3 linked regions of the Styela clava genome follow. The protein of the gene in region 1 purifies or fractionates together with the protein of each later gene. This does not show direct contact. Links are inferred from orthologs where the notes say so. Each region holds a gene or a part of one and is shown in the gene's direction. Other genes may lie near its edges.

The links.
Region 2: the proteins of CCR4-NOT transcription complex subunit 1-like (region 1) and CCR4-NOT transcription complex subunit 7-like purify together in Drosophila melanogaster (affinity purification with western blotting; 4 studies listed by BioGRID, with this or other methods). This does not show direct contact. The link is inferred for Styela clava from reciprocal best matches to the Drosophila melanogaster genes Not1 and Pop2.
Region 3: the proteins of CCR4-NOT transcription complex subunit 1-like (region 1) and CCR4-NOT transcription complex subunit 2-like purify together in Drosophila melanogaster (affinity purification with western blotting; 4 studies listed by BioGRID, with this or other methods). This does not show direct contact. The link is inferred for Styela clava from reciprocal best matches to the Drosophila melanogaster genes Not1 and Rga.

Annotation. Positions count from the first base shown.
Region 1 is NC_135259.1:12,741,978-12,749,468, reverse strand, and holds the start of CCR4-NOT transcription complex subunit 1-like, read left to right. Parts: upstream 1-4,449; 5' UTR 4,450-4,552; coding exon 4,553-4,654; intron 4,655-4,748; coding exon 4,749-4,856; intron 4,857-5,921; coding exon 5,922-6,144; intron 6,145-6,564; coding exon 6,565-6,653; intron 6,654-7,056; coding exon 7,057-7,180; intron 7,181-7,491.
Region 2 is NC_135263.1:10,970,652-10,978,630, forward strand, and holds the start of CCR4-NOT transcription complex subunit 7-like, read left to right. Parts: upstream 1-4,950; 5' UTR 4,951-5,041; coding exon 5,042-5,158; intron 5,159-6,068; coding exon 6,069-6,262; intron 6,263-7,383; coding exon 7,384-7,545; intron 7,546-7,979. Other genes in the region: uncharacterized protein LOC120329965, read right to left, coding at 1-2,603.
Region 3 is NC_135255.1:11,670,372-11,678,244, reverse strand, and holds the start of CCR4-NOT transcription complex subunit 2-like, read left to right. Parts: upstream 1-4,844; 5' UTR 4,845-5,036; coding exon 5,037-5,078; intron 5,079-5,201; coding exon 5,202-5,276; intron 5,277-6,027; coding exon 6,028-6,079; intron 6,080-6,263; coding exon 6,264-6,381; intron 6,382-7,873. Other genes in the region: pleckstrin homology domain-containing family H member 1-like, read left to right, coding at 992-1,081, 1,897-2,022, 2,626-2,697. UniProt on the Drosophila melanogaster protein: Component of the CCR4-NOT complex which is one of the major cellular mRNA deadenylases and is linked to various cellular processes including bulk mRNA degradation, miRNA-mediated repression, translational repression during translational initiation and general transcription regulation.

The DNA of each region.
Region 1 (7,491 bases):
TTACAATGAGCAGCAATCAACAATGAGTAAATATCCTCACTGATTAAAAAAATCTAACTGGAGGTGCATGAACTATTTGAAACCATAAGGGGTAAGTAAATATGTAATTTCGGCAAATGGGCAACCACGTACCGTACTGAATTAATAACTTCGTAGTATTTGACAAAGGCTGGCTTTCCCACATGTACTTAACAGTGCGATGCCCGGGTGTGATATACCACAATAGTATTTACTTTACCTTTTTCCGATTTCTTTTTACCTTAACTTTCCAAAATATCATTAAAATCGACAACAACTGTCGAAGCAGGCACGAACACCATTCGTGCTACGCCTTGAAGGCAGCACACATCCGCTCGTTTTCGTCTCGTCAAGTATGTGCATTGGAGCGTGCTATCGAATACGATCTTCGGACAAAAATGCCGGAGTTGCGCATCATGCTGTTTAATGTCATTGGTTACGGATATAAATAAGAAAATCAATGCTCGGAGAAACACCTATTAATTTTGTTCGTTTCAAAAATTCTATGGGATTCGATTCTGGTGAGCTACTTTGTTTGGGCTTTGTGTTCATATATTTGATTGGGCATCACTCTATCGTTCAATTAATACTCAATGAAAAACTGACATAATTTATTGCCAGCAAAGCAAAGGGAAAGTGCTTTTCGAGAATAATCCATGTTGCTATTCTCAACTATTGGTACTATCTCAAGGTGTGTTCAGCTTTGAAATCTTTGGATCTTCATGCAAACGTTATGCGACCGTTCCAATCGTAGTTAATTTTTTACCTTATCTTTCACCAACTTTGAAATATAACATTTTTTATTCTGAAAAACACTGAATGTGTTTTCAGTTCTTCTTCTAAATTACTTATCATTAAATCCAACGATTCAAGTTTCTATATTGTCTTACTTTTACAATACAACGTTGTCTTGAAAAAGAAGCCCCTCTTGTTGGCCACCTGTTTCGGTGTTAAAAAATAGAAGACGCTTATATATACATGTGCACATATGTAACAAGAGAGCTATGCTCAAATATATGGACACGTAGCGCCACCCAGTGGAATAAATTTTGATGACGTCATAGCGAGAGAGAAATAAGTAATAGCCTTCTGGAGAAAAATTTTATCTTTAACCACTGAAAATATCAAAGCAATTGGTCCAGTATTCGAAGAGAAAAGCGATTTTCCAAAAATGGAGACGGAGACAAAAGAGACAAATAACAATAACAACAAAATTTTGAAACGATCGTTATGGCCACTAAACGTGTCCAATAAGAGTTATTTAGGTTTACTTCTTTATCAATCGGTAAATGCAGCACATAAACAAAGCAAAAGGTTGTCGGTGCAGATTGTGGATCGTGAGCCACATTTCAAGTTTTAAAGTTGGTGCTAAATTTTATTTTAACAAATTTGGAGACGAATTTGTTGTAGGCCTGAATGCACTAGGACAGAAAACGACTATAAAAGTAAAATTAACGAAAGTTACGCAAAAGCAGAACATTTCAGATCCAAGTAGTAGAAATGCTGTGTGCCGGCACCTGATTTAAATTTTTTTCTCGGAATTTCTAAAAACTTTCCTTTTCTTATAAAGTACCGTAAATGCTCGTTTTAACATCCGGTCTTGATTAAAGGGTCCGTTTGAATAGCCGCTCGTGTGAACAGGGCATAAAAATAAATAAGGGCCGGTGCTTGAATACCCGCCCGGTGTAAAAGTTTTTTTTTTGCGGATTTGTACCTGCGGTGCGTAGAAAAAGTCAAAATTTTCATTATTCTCGTTTAAATCATACTTGAGAACTGGAAATGACAATATACGGTATTAATTATTGTAACAATCGATCTCATCTACCGGGATTTTTGTGTGTAATTTTACTTTAAAAATAACAAGCGCCCCTGCTTGAATGAGGGCCGGTTTGAATAAGGGCCCGGTTAGTGAGTATGTTAAAAAAATAAGCGCCGGGCTATTAAACGAGCAAATACAGTAGGCTAAATGGAGCCACATTCAGCCGATAGGAAATGTTTTCAAGTACGCTACGTCGCTAATTTTCAACCAATGATATTCAAAAATCTAAATTTTTTTTTTAAATCTACTGAACAGCTTAAGAATAATCGGTCTAATTAAGAATAATAGTTTAATTAGCCACATCCCCACGCGAAGTCTTATCTTCAATTTCTGCATGTGCGTTATGTATGCATTCAAGTGATGAAGCCAGATAAACGAATTCGACTTTCATTGGAGCGTATATATTTATATTTTATAGCACATCTTTTAATTGATTTCTCATGATGCATTTTCCAGAGATTCATCTCGGCCCAACATTGTTACTTATTTGATTTTATATCGAAGTATAACTTTCGGCAATCTCTTGCGTAGTGGAGTCTGGGTACGTTTAAGGTATATATTTACGGTTTAAGTTACGGGAAACCACAGAGACAACAGCTTCCACACATTGAGGTGTTATATACACCTCAATGTTTGCACAGCACAAGTTCACAAAACACAAGTTCACAAAGCACATGGATTCCAACTATTAAGTTGGAACGCCAGAGCATGGAATGCTCTTGTTATATTTTATTTCGTTTGTTGTCGTTTACTTTTACGCTGCTTTTATTATTGTTGTTTATCGCCCACTATTAGATACGCGCGTTCAGAATCACATTACAGTAAATATAACATACTGTGCACCGCTTGTTTGTTTGCTGTACTCAACACTTCTCGTTATTGGACACGTAGTGGACATAACGATCGTTTCAATATTATGTTGTTGTTGTTGTTGTTGTTCTTGTTCTTGTTCTTGTTCTTGTTCTTTGACACGTTTTTAAAAAGTCGCTTTTCTCTTCAAATACTGGACCAATTGCTTTGAAATTTTTAGTGGTTAAAGATAAAAATTTTCTCCAGAAGGCTATTACTTTTTTTTTCTTGCTATGACGTCATCAAAATTATGTGACTCTACGTGTCCATATATTTGAGCATAGCTCTCTTTTTTTCTTGTGTACAATATACTGTAGTAGAAATTGCGACCTATGTTCAAGTTCCACGCCCAGGTATTTACGTCCGAATTATCTTCCCCGTATTTTTTTAAAATTTGTTGTTTGTTGTTTGAGGCGAAGTGACTAGTTGGCTACTAGTAACTTTGGTTTTGAGGGAAGTGGGCGCGTGGGCACGTCTTGAATCGTTTTGCTAGATTTGCTTATTTCCGAATATTTATTTGTTTTTCCTGTGTTGCTTCTTTGTTTTGTTGTAAAGGAAAATCTAAATAAACTTTCTTACTTACTAATATAATCGTGAGACTATGTGCACGCCATCATGTGTAGAACAGCCGTTTGTTCGACAATCACTTGTCGCGCAAGCAGTTGATTATGGTTCCACGCCATGGGAAATGTGCGGTAGCTCGTTATTGTTCCTCAGGCAGATAGCTGTCCGCGGACTCTCGGGCTGAGTTTCGTTAGTCAATTCATACTGGTTTTGGATGGTAATGATCTCGCAATAGGAGCCAGATCAGGAAATAATATTGTGCTGATTTACAACATTTAATACTTTTAAAAACGTTGAACCCCTAACACTTGAATTTTTGTTAATTTCGTCTGCACTCATTCATGCTTTTCAATTAATTCAAGTGAGACTGCAGTAAGATACCAAGTGAGAATTATCATTTTTTTTTAGAAATATATATATTCATTTGACACATGTAACCCTGGCCCTAAAAATGACAAATGACAGTAGTCACTTATGAATACAGGAATATCGTTGTTAAATAAATTTGCTTGTCCGAGGGTTAAAAAAATCTTATTCAGTTATTGGGCGACTATGCATATTTTATTTTTTTGTGTTCCCCCTTTTTTGAACTAGTCTTCTCAAACTTGATTCCTGTTAACCTTATATCAGTATATTTGGGTTGATATATTTTATTATGTAGGCTACTCGATGAAGGGTCTGCCAAATTGAGATTGGATAGTACCGGTGATCAAACTGGCAGCACCTGTTTCTCATTTTAGGACATTACTGCATTAGATAGGGTATTGACAGATTGAAGTTGATGACCACAAATTTGCTATGATCTCAAATTATGCTCTTGTACTTGAAATGGAGTGGTAATTTGTTGGGGATAGCTGTAGTTCACGATGCTATTAAGTCATCTTATAGACTTTACTTTCCCCTCCAGCCCTCGGATGAATATGTAAATCATGTACTCTTACTGTCTTATGCCATGTTTAAAATCATTGTTGATTTTTCTGAGAGGTCAACTGTCACTGTAAGAAGGTGTTTAAACTAATTTATCTAATTCCTATTCCTTTGTGTTTATGTCTTATATTAATTCTATGATGAATGTTTAAATGCCTAATGATATATAACACCTAATTGCTGAATTGTGAATCGTATATTCTTATCAACAAAATACCATTGCTGTCGGATTGATTGTCATTTAACTGCCTATTCTGGTATTTGTGTGTCTCTCTTCTTCAATCTGCGGAAAGAATTTCCGGATCAAAGCTTGGGTATCCGGCGTGTGAGGTTGCGATATCGCGGGATTTGGGGATATGTTGCCCCGATGCAGCGATGAATCTTGATTCCTTGTCTTTAGCATTATCGCATATCAGCTACCTTGTGGCGAATTTGAGCAAGAAAAATTATAAGTCTGGTGTGCAAGAAATACTACAAGTAAGATTTGTTCAATCTGATCATCGATTTACCGATATAATGATCGTTTTTGTTTAATTTTGATTCATGCATTTTCTGATCAATCTTTTTGTAGCTTACTGAAAGACACGGCCCAGAAGCAGATCGTCATTTATTCCGCTGTCTTTTTTCATCCATTGATTTTGGTGGGGATGGTAAAAGTAACGGAAAAGATTATCATCAGGTAATTTAGTAACAGTTGAATGGTAATCCCGACTACCAGTAATTTAGTCGGTGTGATTTTTTATCATCACAGACTCATGTAGTCTTTATGGTCAATTTGTACTTATATATAACAGTAATGTGTTCAGACTGTTTTAATATTCAATCGGTTGGACTGAACACCAGTACTTGCTAAATTTGGACTCGTTTAAATTCTCAGCATTGCTGGCCTCATTAAATTTGATGTGCAGGGTACCACACCCATGAAATGGGCAACATTTAGAAATAGACTAAGGATATGTGGTTCACAATATTATGAAGCTAATGTGACAAAAACATGAGGAATAACGCTTGGAATTCTTTCATGAAAGCAGATTTCATTTGGATCAATCAATTTGACTCCTAACATGCTTTAATAATATTTAATTTTAAGACATACAGACCAATATCTCTACTCATGGTAATTGCTGCTTGCTATTTTAATATTTGCTAACAGTTTTAATTTGATGGGCTGTATAATATGTAGTATTTTTTTGTTTTGTATACTCTCAATTTTTTCAAACAGGAGCCAACAACTCTTGGGTCTAGTGTAGTTACGTACCTCAAGTACTTCTAGTTGGCGTAGCATAGCAATTTTTGCATATGTCAATGCCAATCCCAACCTGACTGAGTCATCCAAAAATAACGTCACGACAACATCACAGTGACGTAATAAGACCCTGCAAACGATACAAACTGTCATCCAAGACGAGCAGACGGTCACCTGAAATCGAGCAAGCTATTTCTTGGTTTTTTTATTACTACGATCCCAATATGAGAGAGATCGCTGCCGTTAGTGAGTTTTGCATTGTCAGTACAGGTGCCATTTCGCTCGATCGTAAGTATACTTCGGCAAGCTCTATGGAGTGATTGTGACATCGTCGTGATGTAATTTTTGGATGGCGTAGTCACGTAGGGGTTGAGATTGACATGTGCAAAAAATCGTTATGCTACACCCACTAGTATCTGAGGTGAAAACTACACGAGACCCCAACTCTTCACATACATTTATAATCCTACATACATTTATAATTTTGTTTACTTTCAGACTCAACTATTAATATTGCAGTGCAGCACTTTAGCTACAAAACCGGGTTTCATTTCAATTCTCTGTCACTCAGTTGACAGTCCCTTCTCTCATCAAAAATCATTGGTACCTTCTGACTCTCTACTTACCAATATCAGCCGTGTTTTAAAGTTCACAAAAGTACAAGAAGTGACTTTTGCAATCGCTCTGCAACATTCGAGCATTCAGGAAGTTCGAAAACAAGGTATGAGTTCTAAATGTTAAATAAAAACTTCTACATTAGTTAGGCAGAAATACCTGGCAAACAAGTTTACTATTCGGGTAAGTTAATTGAATTTAGGCCATTTTTGTGTCTCATCAAACATGTTGGTGCATTGTGTTAAGTATAAGTGCGAGGAACACACACTGATTACCTTACGCGGTGTCACTGGGTAAAATCTTGTGGGGATAATTACATGTGGGAGGATTACTGGACTCGTAGAGTGGTTCACCTAACCACTAGTCGGTTACGGCTTCCTCCACCATCAAGTTTATTCAAATAACTGACTAACTATTTTCTTATCTGACATGAACACTCATGCCAGGCAAGAGTCCGTGCCATATGTACAAGTCATCTTGTTAGTTTTCTTCAGGATAAATGACATTTTCGCTTGTTATTTTTCAGCTACTGAAGCAATTAAAACTCAGTTACCTGAATTAATCCGATTACATTTGGAAAGCGTTAAAGTTAGTGGAAGAGGGAGCAATTCACAGGTTTGTATGATTTTTTTTTTTATAATTTTCTTTGTCAAATTTTGAATTCCAGTTTGATAATTGAAGTATGATCCCTGTCTAGAATTTTTTGTCACTTCAAGTAGGTTATCATAGGACAAGAAGTATAACTATGAATTATTATGCTAAATTGTTGTTTCTTCTGCTGTAAAGATATCGTTTTCTTAGCAAATAAATAACGAATCAATTTCAAAGTTTCTGTACCTGAAGAAGATTATTGTTTTTATTTTTTATATGATTTATTACAATCCTTTTAACATTTCATATGACATTGGTACAGTTATTTGATTAAAATTTGGGTGTAATATTTCTGACATTATAGTGGCCAAATTACACCTTTGTACTTATAAAACTCTTGTTATTCTGTATAACTTTTTATCTCCAGGACATTGGCCTGCAAGACACTGCCATCGAAGTACTGCACTTACTTCTTAGTTATCTTGCCAAAGATAGCTCTGGAATTGTTTCACCTGATAAAAAGCAAGCTTTTCTTGCCACTCTCAGATCTAGTAAGTAAATTCATATATTTAATAAGAATTAACCATTAGGAGATGACAAGGTCCTTCTGAATCACAAATTGCCGATATGAATACTAATATTTTTGCTGTTCGACAAATGTAATAAAAGATTTATGAAAAGCAAGTTTATCAAACATGCTGACTTAAAAGTGATAACCAGAATCTAGATCAGAATTATGGTTTGTGAATTTTTTGATACATATGGCCATCCAAGATATGAATGAGTTGTTGTATTTCTCCAATGTGTTGGGAAATTTCTGCGGTTCTTTTCTAGTTACCGCTGCCATTTGATATCGAGACTA
Region 2 (7,979 bases), on another chromosome or scaffold:
TCAGGCAACTCGATATCAGATGACCTCCATGGAATCTTGACTTGATATCTTCCATTCACTTTACAAATTGAATCATTCATGATCTTTAAAGCCTGTTTGTCTTCAATAGATGGTAAAGTGTCAAATCCACTGACATTAGAATCCTTTAATTCATTCCGAAAAGCTTGCTCCATCTGAACATGCAATTCTTCATTATCCAAATGAATCCAATCAAGATGTTTTACACTTGGTTGATGAAATTTACCATCCGGCCCGAATAATGCCCATCCAAGACCAGTATGTACAGCAAATGGCTCTGAATTACTCCCACGTCGCATTCCATAACACGCATGAGCTTCAGGCACATCTACACCAATCAGGACTTCAACTTTTGCATTCTTTGCATTTGGAAAATTGATATCTTTCAAGTATTCGTATTTCGCCATCGCACTATTAGACGGTATGTTGCATTCCAAATCCGAGGGAAGATCGTCCAACACTCGAACTCCATGCATCTGAATAATCCTAGTTTCATTGAGTCCTTGAATATTCAGTGACACTTCAGGACTTGATTTATGTTCAATTTTTCCACCCAACGTCTTAATTACGAGTGGGTCGCTGTTGCCATGTAAACCAAGTTTCTTCATAAGCTCAGTTTTTATAATGCTAACATTACTGCCATCATCAATGAATCCATATGTGTCGTATGATTGATTATCGGTTCCCCATACTCGCACAGGAACCACCTTTCTTCTTATAAAGGTGGCAGGTTTAACTTCAGTAGCACACAACTGAGTCGAAGTTACACCGGCCTCATTGGCGGTCGTAGCTCCGGCCTCATTAGACCTCACATCTTGAGGTGATTGCACATCTGTACTACCATTTGGTTTCACTGAATCAGGCTTCTTATTAACGTGCAACAGTGTGTGATGTCTTCTATTGCAACCTGGTGCTCTACAATGATAATTTGACTTGCACTGGCTTGCAAAATGATCTGGAAGCAAACAATTGAAACACAACTTGTTCCTGGAAACAATCTCGAACATCTCTTTGGCTTTCCTTTTCTTAAATTCTTCACACCTCCACAACTGATGATCAGATTTGCACACAACGCACTCTCGTAGTGGTTTTCTCAACGTGGCATTACTCAACTTAGGATCAGCTGTGGGTGCTTTAGAAGATGACTCTTCAGAAATAAGAAATGATGACACACTGCGGTTGCCCCGCTGACTCGGACTGTCAACATATTTCTTTCCTTTATGTGTCTCAAGTGCAAGCTTACCAAATCCAGATCTATTCACATTTGAAACTGTCTCCATAAATGTAAGAAGAGTATCAAAATTGACAATATCTCCATTGGTGTACTTCTCATTAGCAATGTGAGCAAATTTCCATAAATGTTGTATTGGAAATCTCTTTACAATCTTTCTTAATGTAGTTAAATCATCCAAACTACATCTGGCATCATATTCCTTGAATACAATGAGGCAATTCCGTGCCTGGGTGACCAATTCATCCCATGCATTAACATCATTTGCCTTTATTGAGGGACCTTCAGTAAGTAATTGCATATGTGCATCAATTATGAGATGCCTCTGACCATAATTTCGATGCAAAATACTTCGTGCCAGTTCATAACCTCTTTCTGCAGGTAAAGAACCACATGACAATATTGCTTCTTTAGCAGAACCTTCACAATTGGAAATCAAACAATTCAATTTCTGAGCAACATCCAATTGACTCGAACCAATAAAAGTATTGAACTCTCGAACAAACTCTGTATATTTAAGAATTTCTCCTTTAAATGTTGTCATCTTAATATGAGGGAACATCAAACCTTGCTTAATGATATTTGCTACATTCAGCATTCCTCCCTGTAAAGCTTGCGTCAGCTGCGCCATCGCATGAACAGTGTGATCCGGCATACCATATTCCATCTTAGCATGGCTTCTTATAGTACCCGGTGACTCAATCTTAATTTCATGGGCTGCTGACCTGTTTACAGGTTCAACATTCGGCACTTCAGTGGGAATCAAGCGAATGAGATGCTGATTTGTACTGGCATCAAATCTATGATCATGCATAATATCACTCACCAAATTCTTCGCAGGTGATGGAATTTGATTCTCATTTGATATGAATGGAACGTTCGGATCCAACATACATCCTTTGTCATCCTTTGCCATAGGAGTAAAAATTTGCCGCAAGATTCTATTTGCTTTCTCTGGATCAAAGTCCGACACATTTGATGGTTTCATAGGAGGCGGAAGTGACGTATCAGCCACATCATCTTGACTTAATAACTTCAAATGATCAGTAATCGGAGTTGACTTGACAACTTTCTCAGAACTAGATTGAGCCTCAAATCCATAAAATGTTGACCCGTCAACAACTGAACCTTGTCTTGAATGGCTAGCACTTGACAGCATATCATACTCAATTTGAGCTTCTTCAGCATCTGCTTCGGCTGCTAAAGTTTGAGAATCTAATTCAAGTTGCTTACGTTTCAACTCAGCTTGCTTCAGAATTTGTTGCTTTCTCAGATTTGCAAGTCGCAATCTCTTCTCTGCCTTTGCTCTTTCAGACATACATGACTTAGTAGTTGATCCAGAAACAGTTGACATCTTCACTTGACTTTAAACTTTCAAGACAACAGTCGAGACATATATTGTAACTTAATGTAGAGTTAAGAGGTTCTACAGGTCCTATTTCTGATTATTGGGCTGTCTTGTCAATCTACTTCCGTAGCTAACTCTCGACACAGTAGTAACGCACACATAAACACATCCAACTTGTATGAAAGAACTTGTAATGAAAGTATATTTACAGTATATACAAGTCACAGTCCAGTAAAATTCCACAATCAGGTTAAAAGTTCCACAGTAGATAGATAAATTTCCACAGCAAGTATAACGGCAGTGTAACACAGTGAATGTCAAAACTTGATGTCTGTATGTAAATGTATTGTATGTGTATTGTATGATGTGTTGTATGATGTGGTTACAATATATTTGTGTCTCCAGCCCAACAACAGTACTTAAATTTAGCTACAAGACACAAAAACAATAAAAGAGTATAATTAGCCTTCGACATACAACTCAATTAGAACCTATATTACTAAATAACCCTAAACATCCTAACAATCCTAAATTAGCATAATCAAAACCCTACAATTTGCAACTCAATGCCGCAAAGTAATCGCAGCTACTAACAAAGAAATTCATGTGACCAGGCCTCATTGCACTGTCTCCCACACTAATAAATAGGACATTTAGTATAATACAATAAGAAAAACAAGGGCATGAATACAAATCAGCTGATATAAGAGAGTATTGCACCATCATTGCCAAGACTTCAAACTTTCTCTCGGTCAGTGACGCTTAATATAAATAAACAAATAAATAAACGAGAGCAAGTCTGAACATGTTTATCGGGACCAGAATAACTAAAACTAATAGGTTAGTTCACGAAAGTTAAATTTCTGCCTGTAACAGAAGTCATTGTTCAGTGCCGACAATGTAGAGAATATAGGACAGATCGTAGCACATATTTCTTGTAGTAAAAGCGTCTTTTCCGTAAAACGTGCAACTTTTGGACGTGGGAACAAGGCAATATTTGTTACTAAATTTTTAAGGAACATTTTAAAATCATTTTCAGGTAGTTACCTGATGTGCGCTACGAAACTCATTTTCTAGGCGTTTTTCAGGGCCTCGGCTCGCGGCCTAATATGTTAATGAAGATTGCAACTGGATTGAAAATATTACGCGGAAATAATAAGTGCGCACAGATAGATAGATAGATAGTTTATTTCGAAAACTTCATAGCAAACCTAAATTTAAAATGGAGAATTCTGGAGGGCAAGCAAAACCTGCAAAAAAGTTTAAAACATGAAGTATCTCATGTGCCTGCCCACCAGCACGCACACAAAAACACAAGCCCAATTAAATGAAGCTTGGGCCAAACTTAAAAAACAAAATACACGATAGTAATAAACTTTCGGGCTGTTGTACTCTCTTTCAACAATTACGTTGATAATGACCAATACCTACAACCTCATGCAAAGATAATGTGGGGAGTGGAATGTAATAAATTTGCGACGATAGTCATACTCATGAAGCCATGAAAGCTTTGGGAAAAACCAAGCCACGAAAAACTACACTGATTGCTAGATTGGGCATTGCAGAAAAGGTGATAAGTGGTTTCATATACAAACAAACGCAAAACCATGGCGGCAAATTCGGTGTGCGGACACTCATAAAAGCAATTATTAGGAAAAACACTAATCACACATGAGCAGGTCTGTAGCCTAATTGATACATTGACGTGGCCAACATTGTTAAAACAGTACCGGTATACACACAGAGAGAACAAATCAAAAATATGCCACTAAATGAATGTTTAAAAATGTTACACTGTAAGTTACACTGCAAACTATTTACACATATATAGTTGAATACTCGGTATTCAAGCGGAATTTCTAGAAATAGCAGTATATCATACTCTTTGTCACAAAATAAAATATCTGAATCAATCCCTGTTGTATTCATCTTTCGATTTTGTTATGATGTCCGTATGTTGTCTCAGTTTTCGTATCAGATTGAAATTTCATATTTATACAGTTGGGAAAGGGAGTTAATAAAACAGCGATAAAGTTGGAGTTTTTATAACATTTATAAAATATTTTTGTTTTTTCTTCTAATTGATGATTGTTTAAAAACATTAGTTTCAGTTTACAGTATTCGTTCCACAATTTTAACCGCGTAGGATTTGATTTAAAACATGGTACATACAACCTGACAATTGCGTTTGCTTAAAATTATTTATGTTGGTACGATCAGGTGGTGTTGAAGTATTAAAATAAAGCTAATATTTCAAAAAAACTTCTCTTTACATGCTATATTTAAATGTTAATAATATAACAGTACTTTACTGTTAAAATTGTAAAAATTATGGTGATTATTATTTTATGTTCTTTTTCCATTAAATAAAATAAAGCGAATGAAAAATCAAATAGCCTAAGACTGTTTCTGTGTTTCGACTTCTTTAAAAATAGCACTAGCATATGAAGATGCCTGGTCAGAATGCAGATGATCCAATCCTCGAAGTTTGGGCATCAAATGTTGACGAAGAATTCAAAAAAATTAGGAAGTTGATTCATCATTATCCTTATGTTTCTATGGTAAGCGTTTTATCATATTGCAACAGGCTGGATGATTACCGGTACAATAATCCATTTTACTGTTATATAATGTTGTATTTTTTATATCCAAGCTTCTGAAAACTAATACCTGGCTAACTAACCCCATACCTGACATGAACTGGTCACCGTTCGAGAGGCCGTGGTTTGCCATATGATTAAGCCGTCTTATCGCATTCCCTCTCCCCCGGGATAAATATGAAAATCTTATATAGTTGATTTTCATAAATTTAGACAGAGAAATGGAAACGCGATATTGTTGAAAAACCGAATCGTTGTTTTAGTGGTTTGTCACTTAATGTATTTGAACATATAAATACCGGTATAACATCATTTTAACCTGAGAATATGAATTTAATTTCCAGTTCGAATCAGGTAAAAAATATAAATTGAGAAATATAAATTTTTGTACAGTATGGGTTAAATAATGCTGAACTGCTCAGTGTTGAAGTTTTATTCATCTATGTTTTTATTGAAAAATAAGTAAATTTTTTCTCATTTTATATATTCTATCATAGTTTGACCCCCAAACCTTAGTCAATGAATAAACCTTTTTTCAACCATTGATGACAAGAATGCGTTCTGAAGACATACTGAAATAGTACTTCCTATTGTGTCATAATGAATAGATTTTAAAATATTGGGGTAACTCTCAGACTTCCCTAGTCTGACTGATAGAGGTCAAATGTTGAAGATGAAAAATTGTCAGATGAAAAATTCTAAATTATTCCTAAAATCAACAAGTAATCATATTGAATATAATCGAATTTAAATGTATCCAAATATTTATTTCATATGGAAATATCTGTTTGTTCCGATTGTTAAAGTAAAAATATAGGCTTGAGAGTAGGCTTGACCCAGATACTATTACTAATATAAACATTTAATTTAGGACACAGAATTTCCTGGTGTTGTTGCAAGGCCAATTGGAGAGTTTCGAAGCAATTCAGACTATCAATATCAACTTTTAAAATGTAATGTCGATCTTTTGAAAATAATTCAACTAGGATTGACTTTTATGAATGACAAGGGTGAAACTCCACCTGGAATATCAACATGGCAGTTCAACTTTGCTTTCAGTTTGAAGTGAGTTTGTTATCAATAAATAGTTCTTTGGTTTATTTTTGTTTTGAAAATTCACCTAAATAGTAAATTGTAAAATAAGGTTTTTATTATAATTCCACCATATTGATTGTGCCTTTTTTTACATTTTTGAGTAAATATGCCGAAATTGTATTTATACAGTTATATTCAAGACTTTTTATTGCTTAATTTACTGTAATCCTTTCTTGGTATATTTTAGAATGTAAATAACTGTTTTTTAACCAGTTTATTTCGACCAGCACTTTTTCTTTTGGTCCAATATTGCATCTATAAATTGGTTCCATTACATTTGAACCCATGACAATTGTACCTGTATGCTATTGCACCTATGGAATTTTTTTTGTTTTTCGGATAGTTGAACCCATACTAACCCTAACCCATGGGTTTTAGCACCTGCATATAGATTGAACCCGTGGATATACACATGGGTTCAAATGTACGTGGGTTCAAATGTACGGTCACCCTATAAATTATATCCAATTGAGCTGAATGCATGACTTTAATTTTTCTAATATAGATTTATACATACAAGTTCACTTTTGTGTTTATGCAAAATTTTAGGCATTTTTTATGATTATTATATCCGGTATTTGTAGGCCTATCTGATTTTTGGGTACTCCCGTAGTGTGAGTACCAGGTTAGGGCATAATTTTATTCCGATTTTCCTTATTTTAGTTCTATTACGAGTTCGGGGACTGTCTGTGTTAGCCAAGTGAATATACGCCTTGCCCATAGGTTTTAATCCGTGTTTATACAACTTGTAGAGTAAGCGAACAAAATTAGTTACTTCCATATTGGTACACACACTTCTGGACTGGAGCCTCGATTTTTGTATCTAAGTATGCCAGCACAACCCATAAGTACCAAGTTAAAATAAAAGAATGTGTCATAGTAATGTATTTGACCCTGTGTAATTTTGAGACGTTTAGATCAAAATATCAATTGAATTAATCATCAAAAAAGTGTAGCGTTAATATTCTTTATGAGTAGGGCCACAATTCTGGGAAATATTTTTTCAAATATACTATGCATATTATCATATGGAATGCAATTGGTAACCATATGTTTTATGATTTTATCGTTTCTCTATCTCGTTAATTTAGCGAGGATATGTACGCCCAAGAATCAATTGATCTACTGCATGAAAGCGGAATTCAATTTAAACAACACGAAGACGAGGGAGTAGAACCTTTATATTTCGCAGAGCTGTTAATGACATCAGGCATTGTCCTCATGGATAATGTTAAATGGGTGACATTCCACAGGTTTGTGGTGTTACTGGTAATACCAAAATTAAATTCTTTCACAAACGTATATTAAAACAGCACTCTCACACTTTACAACACTTCACAATACCTATATTGAAAAAATTATTCTTTGCTTTAGTGTATGGGTATTTAAACGGTGCTCATACACTATGCAACTCTCCATAATTTATTAAAAAAATTCACTCCTGTTCCAGTGTATCAGTATTTTTATACAATTAATTGCAATTGTAATGGCCATTCACTTGTATTGTAAATGGTTTATTTTTGAGTGTATGACTCTAAATTTTGCGTGTCTTAGTTAATTTTTGTTACCAACTTTATGTCAGCAAGCATGTATATTGATATACAGGAGTAGGAGTTAGTTTTGAAATATTTTTTTCTGATTGGTATTTTTTGTTAAATAACAAAGTTTTTTTTTTTTGCTTCGAGAT
Region 3 (7,873 bases), on another chromosome or scaffold:
TACGTACCCACGACAAAACTCGCTAGATTGCGGCGGGTACGTTGATGTACTCCACTGTTTTATACAGCAATCGGTCGCAAACTGTTGGTCTAGTTTTTCCGGGTTTTAGTTTGTTGATAAGAAGTCTTCATCGAGATTAACCCAAGCGACGGTAAATCTCGCTTTCGTTTACCATGGGAATTTTATTTGCGGCGGAACGAGGGAGTGTTTTTGAAATTTATGCAAATTTCGGTATTTTTTGGGTGGTAATAGAAGACATATTATCCCTTCCATCTACCAAAGTATTTTGAGTTAGATAACGAAATTGCTACAGCAATATTATGCTATTGTTTGCCAACCAAGAAGCGGTAACAGTAAAGGATTTAGCGAATATTTCTATTTTTTATCACGGTTTGAAGTTTCAACACCCAAGAAAAAAAAATGCCTTTTTTCTATCCGGTTTGTGACTCAGACCACCCCTTTTGAAAAAAAAAAAATTTTTAATCGCCAATTGCAAGCTCTTTAAATAAGCTTTCCAACGAGACGTCAGTGGGCAGCAGAGGATCATTACTTTTTCGTTAGTCGATCGATTAGTTGTGGGGGTACAAATGCATAAAGTCGGCGTAGCAAATACGATTATTTAATAAAAAATAAAAATCGCATGGAAAGGGTTAAATCTATATTCTAATTTTGCATAGAAAAATCATCTGTTTTTGGGTAGTAGCCATGAAATGATGCTTTTTCTATTGTTTTTAACAACTGGTTTTAAAAAATATCAATGGATAATGCCTTTTTTGTTATTTTGTTAGAAATGAGAAATCTGATATTGAAAACAGAAAAGAAAATAGGAAAAAATATTTGAGAAGTGTCTCAGTATTCTTGATTTGATGAAATTGAATCAAATTTTAATGTAGATATTACTGAAATTTAATACATTTAACAATACATTTTTAATACTTTTTCATCTCTCGTGTAGAAATATATTGAAAGATCTTTCTGTTTCTTTTCGCAGGTTGAAGTAAACAGAAAACATAATAAATTATCAACAATATGGTTGGCAGTACATGAACATGGTGTTAATGAATTGAACTATGTTACAATGGTTTGTATTTTGAACACTTTATTGTCAGTGATTTAAATCAGGGGTGTGCAAGCTGGGGCTCGTGGGCCTAATGCGGCCCTCAAGGAAAAAATTGTGTGGCGCTTGGAGAGGTGCCAATTTTGAATGATGTGCGACCCGTGAAGGAGTTTTTAATTTAATTTGGTGTCTGCGAGTAATTCCAATCTTTTTGCATTGAAAAGCCTATACCCGAGTCCAATTTATTATCTATGCCTATGACTTTACAATGCCGTAACAGCTGGCTTGTGCAAACAACGCAAGATCAATAACCAAATTTTTGTGCCTGCAACTAATAGGTAGCCTATGCTAAAAAAGATGCGGCCCGCAGTTTCACCCAGTTATTTGTATCTGTCCCTCTTGTATTAATAAAGGTTGCACACCCCTGATTCAAATTATCATTTCTTATTTTACTAACAACTGGTCTGATTGAGTGAATTAATATTAAGCTGTCTTATGAGTTTTAAATTTGAAGCGAGTAATCATTCTTATACTTATATAAACATGCATATTGTAGGCCTGTATTTGTTTCTTTTTGTTGGGTTATATATGAAACTTGTCTTGAAAAATGAAAACGAAATTTTATGTCAGATTTTTGAAACAAAACAATTTTTTTGACTTACTATTTTTTACAGCCCAAAAGGTGCACTTTAATTCTTTAATAACCTATTGTGTCTTATAGCCCGGTGCGCCTTATGTATAAATAAAAACCCAATCTAAGCATTTATTGACATGCGACTTATGGTCTGTGGAATGCGGTAGTCCATATTTTCTGGTCATCTTTTTTTTTCTATATTCAGGCCATTGAAAACACTTACAAGTACCTAAATATCATGACATATGGTGGATGTGACAACAGATTCATGATTGTTGTTGAAAAAGAAGGTGTTCCTGAAAAGCATTTCTACTCCATGTCTAAGGAGAAGGTCTGATTGTTTTAATATTATTACTGCACTTCAGATTGATATACCAAGAACAATTAAAAAGACTGGCTGACCAAAAAAATAGGGTCTTAGTAGTTCTTTTGATTGACTTATAGTCCATCTGTCTTCAAAACTTCTGTCATCATTACTTTTACATCACTTGACCTGGCTAAATTTTTTCGCATTTTTGATAATAATTTAATAATAATTAATTGATAAAATTTGATAATACTGGAAATCATAAAAAAAAATACTTTCAATGAAACCGGTGTGCTTGTATATTTTTGCACTAAAGATGGAATTATAAATTAGTGTCAAAAAAGATTTTACCGTGACCCAAATTGAGCTTTTTTGCGACCCACCGGCGGGTCGGGAACCCTAATTCGAAGAGCTGGTGAGTGTGACAAAATTGACTATACGGAGCACACCAGACGAATGTAGGTCCTTAGTAGTTTTCTTTGTATTCTTTTCTTTGCCATTTTAGAAGTGAAAGCGTTGAATGCCCCATACAAACGTAAAAGTAAAGTTGCAGTATCATTGTCCAGATACTGCCACTTTGGCATGTATGCTTTCAATTATCGTAATATAAAATCCGTTGCTTTGCAGGCATCTGAGATTGTTCATCTGATGACCGAATACATGAAAGTATTCACCGCAAAGAAGAGATATATTCCATGATGCTGCTAAGCCAACTAGTATTAATCATTGATATTGCATTCTAAAATGGGCGTCAGCTATTAGGCATGTGTAGTATTGGAAGATGTGAAATAAAAATGAGTCTTCTAGCTGGAATAAATGGAAACCGTCTGCATTAGGATGCTCATCTTGGAGCATGATATTTATCTCAAGAAAAAGGAATTGGATTTCGTATATATGGAGCTTTACACTCTTTGTTAATAATTACTGAGTATTTAGGAAGGATATCAGAACCGGGATCATTGGTGTTTTTGATAACTTTTCTATTGTGTGAGGGCCACCAGGAAAAGATCTTGTTTCAAAATACTCGCAATTAGTGATATCTTTATATTCATAATGATTTTTGAAATTAATGCTGTTCATCATGAAATCACTGATTATTTCTATGGAACTTTCTTGAACAATAAGTTCCATTTTGGTTATTTGAATTCAAATTTTCCTGAGGGGAATCTTTTGAATAATCCCTACTCACAGTATCAAATGTTGTGGTTTTTGAATTTCATATATTTTTTTTTCATTTAAACTGTATACTATATTTTATTTATGATGCACTTATTGATATCATTTATAATTTTGGTGTTTTAGCAGCTTGGTGCAACTTGAAGCATGGTTCTTAATATTTTTGATCCTTATATTATTTCTTATTCGTCAACATTAGGTATTTGGAATTACCTCTTCATTTAAGAAGTAAAAGAATCGAAAATTGAATTTGTGCTATGTTTATAATTTTGTGGTAGACTTTGTTAGTTGGAAATGTTAGTGGGGCTTCCGAAAGAGTTTTGTTCAGTTATCCTGGTAGAGAGGAAAAGTGATAGGATGGCTGTTGGTCCGGCAAAAGCTCTTGCGCCAAAGACTTACGTTCCTGAGAGCCTGTAATGGCTGTCACTTTCGTTTGCCGAATTATCCTCCACTAAGCGCGCTTTCATCTATACCTGCTTGAGCCACGAAGTCTAGTTTCAATTTCCAGGAAAATTGATGCGTCACTTTGTTGGCATTCACTTCCTAAGCGAAGAAGCCTCCAATATTCCCAATGAGGATTTTAGTAAATGGATTGCTCAGCTAGTGATTATGAAATTTCTCTGGTATTGTGTGAATTCCAGAATGAGTTTGTTACCATAATTTGAGAGAAAAAAGGTTCAACCATGGCTTCTTGAAGTTCATATTTACTTGTAAAAAGATTCTACCATTTTGGGATTCTTACATGCTCTGCGAAGGCGTTGACGCATTCCACAAAAACTAAAGTAATGCAAAAAAAAAAACGAAATACGGTACCGTACTGCCTTTTCCTTGGATGCTTCGTAAGCAAACCCCTGGAGCATATTTTATAAAATCTATCTTTCATGCATTGCCAGTGGTAGGAAAGTATTTACATGTTTATCTTGGGGGAGAGGAAAGTCGATGAGACGGCAAACCACGGCCCCTCTTCTGGTAAGGGATTATTCGATGAATACATTAGTTTTATTGATAGCTGCAGTAGAGGGTAAAATACATCATAGGTAATAATTTAATCGAAAAATTAAACATTTCAAAATGACGAAAGAACAAATAACCGGCTATATATTCCTAATATCTGTCCTAGGTTGGAAACCAAATTCAGAGAACGTAGTTTTCAGTATGTGTAAGGCCTCATAATGGTTCTTCGAAAAATCTATTTGAAGATTTCTCATTTTAAACTCATAAGTAATCGAAACAATCACTGAAATCATGCTAGATATTTAGTCCAAACAGTTTAGAAAAAATGTTGAGGCTTTAATATAAGGACATTTGTAACAGTAATCAGCCCTGTGTAAAAAGGTTCATGAAAATTGACTTGTATCTCGAGAAAGTGGGATGATAGGAAATGATTGAAACCTCCGAAGATTCGGAGTGTTCGACTTGGTTTTCACCCTTATGTCTTGAGATTGTCAAGTATATAAAATGGCGTAGCATGGTTGTTAAAATTTTAGTCGGTAAAAATTGATATTTGCACTCAGATATTTGTTCGACATTAAACGAAATAATTATTCGTTTATATCGAGTAATATACATTTCCGCGTTCAACGTTTTCCGGTAAATAATGAATCCGCGTCGTTTTGCCCTCCAGTGGTAAAAACAATTTCTTGTATCCGACTGTGGGTATTTTGTCAACTAACCCAGGGCCAGAGGCAAGATCGCTTTGTTTGCAGCTCTTACATTATTGTTTAGTGTTCTATTCCGTCTCTTGTGGGAATTTGCTGGTGTTTCATCATTTTGTATGTTTTATTCTCCTAGTTGACGATATTTACATTGTATCTATAGTTGTGCAAGGCACATGGAAAACTAATTAGTACAGTTTCCACAATATGTTCAGTTCTGGTTTTGGCAACACGCCAAAGAAGAATATGGTAAGTTGTTTTTTTACTTGAAATTTTTGATAAAATCATTGAAGCTATGAATTTGAAATTCTTTATTAATGTGACACTGAACTATTTCTCAATCTTATTCAATTATATAAATTCATTTCTAAGCTCTTTGAAGATAACGACATGACAGGAGGACTTGAAAGCATGGGGTATCTTAACTCTGGAAGTTCTGTAGCGGACGTAAGTAATTCATGTCATATGTTAGTCAAAGATTCAATATTTTTAGTTTTGATCTAACCAAGGTAAACAGTGCATTGGTTTAACCATTGCGGCATAATTGCTAAAAACTCTCGAATGCTGCTCGTAAAATTTTTGTCTTTTAATTAGATAATTTTTTTACAAGGAATCCAACGGTGATGTTTTTAGATTGGGCTTACTTTTAGATTATTGCGCAGTGTCATTTCGCGGTGTCTCTGAAAGGAGGGGTTTGCACTCACTGTTATAATTGATGTCTGTAATATGGGGGCTATTCCTGGAATCGCAGAACTGTGCCTTGCTGATGTAGCAGCCCATGAGCCCTATATCTGTATATTGAAAAGGCTATTGAAATAGCGAATGGAACCAGAAGTGAAAGTATTTTTGTTGCAGAGTGATTCATGTGGCCACTGGTCTGTTTCGACCTCATCCGCTATCAGAGTATGACTGGAATTGGTGACAGGACAAGAAACCTTGGTCCACCATATGATAAAGCAGTCTCTTTTTTCCTGTGATAGATATAAAACAATATCTTGTTTTTAGTTTTCCATCCTTGTATCTGGTTGCATAAAATGTTGTATTTAGCAAACATATTAGAACTTCATGCAGCAAATCTTAATCAAATAAAACTTCAATCGCCGCCATCTAAACTTAAATAACAAATACATCTCACTCTAAAAAATTTATTGGTTATAGATTGTGTTTGTTTGATTTTGAAACTTTTTTTTTTTTGCAGATGTTAGGGCAGTCTCAATCTTCACAATTTTCTCCATTATATGGACAGCAGAGTAAGTTAATTTCGTCAAAATTCATAGCGTTTCTAATCGAATACGAATTAAATTATCGTAAAAAAAATTTTTTGATGTGTGAATGCTACATGATAATTTACAGTTACTACTTCAAGCTGTGATACTTGAACCTGTAGGATAAAATGACATTGAAATATTCATTTTCTTTAATTTATTTTAACAGAATCCAATACAATGGGAGGTTTGGGTCAATTTGGTCGGAGTTTTTCAATACCAGGGAATTTAACACCAACAAGTTTAGGAGGAGAAATGTTAAATCAACAACAACAACAGCAGAACAGGTTCGCTCAAAAAACATTTTCACTGATTTTTTACACATATATTTTATGTCTTTTGCTTGGAACAAGGACTTATACAAGCAGGCCCTGATATGTAAGTCTACTATTTTCAGGATCACAATCTTGTCGGGTCGGCATTGCCTACCCATTTTATTACACCCTGGGTGAGTTGGTGGGTGTGGGATTTGAACCTGAGACTTGTTACCTGTGTTTCCAACACAGTTGAGTCTAAGGCTTCAACGCAACGGTTTCCAAACTTTTTGTTCGTGTGGTGCAAAATTATCAGGGAAAACTCAAAACTCAAGACGCACTTACTCGAAAAAATGCTGCTTTCAAGTAAAACTCAGTTTTGTGATCGTTTATGTTTACTCCATACCTTTGCTATAGCAACTTTGATTTACGGGAACCAGAGCTCTGAGAACAAAGAGCCGCATGTTGCCGATCGCTGATATAGAATATAATGCAGGAGCTTGTTCCATCTATGTGTGACCCATATTAACCTGATTCAGACGCCCAATCGAGCCCAATTTTGAATAGATTTTTATTAATGTCATACGACCCCCAAAATTTACCCAATATACAATAATTATATACCATTGGAAAGGTATTTTAGAGTACTATACGCTAGATGTCACTGGAGGACCGTAAACTAAAACACCTCTTTCAAGAGGTCTCTCGTAACGTCAAAAAATAACAAAAATATTTACACTCTCTCATTCTATCAGCTGTTGGACGTCTATACCTATTGTAAAGCTGAAATGTAACTATACAGTTGACTGCACATTGGTTTTCTCTTTCATATGATACTAAACGCTTTTCCATAGCGCGCAATGTTCAAGCGTTTTGGAAATTTTCCGTTTGAGAAGGCACCACATCGAATCAGGCCAGGCTAAGCTTGATAGATCGATCGGTTGTTTGTTTGTGCTTTATCGCGTTGAAAGCTTTTGTGAGTCATAATAAAACATTTATTATGAATCATAAAAGCTTATAATCGTCAGACAAGGAGAATTTGCGAGATAAAAGCCTAACTTTTTTTTCGGTGAGGCAGCTGCGATCAAACGACTCGATATTTTTATAACTTCCTGACGTTGTGAGATGTCCACTCTCCTATGTTATGTAGCATATAAAATGACCTTCAAAATAAGACCTTATCATACTAGCTTTTGTTATTGGTTAGCGCGCAACGCCAAGGTTTATGGAATCATTTTCTTGTTGTGCGACGTTTTTATATCGCAGCGGGAAGTACACGCGTGATATGTAAGCGAAATTTTATCACTTCTAAATGTCATATAAGGTTCATTCTCATATCGTTGTGTGGGGAATAAGATTTCCTTTCAAGCAAGACCATAACAAACATTCCAGACCTCATGGTATACACACAGCATTGCAAAACGTCTGAAACGTCGCGCATGCGTCAAACCGGGAGGATTAGGTTAAAGAAAGATTATTTTCATATATTTTTTTGTTAAAAGAACTGATCAAAATGGTATATTTT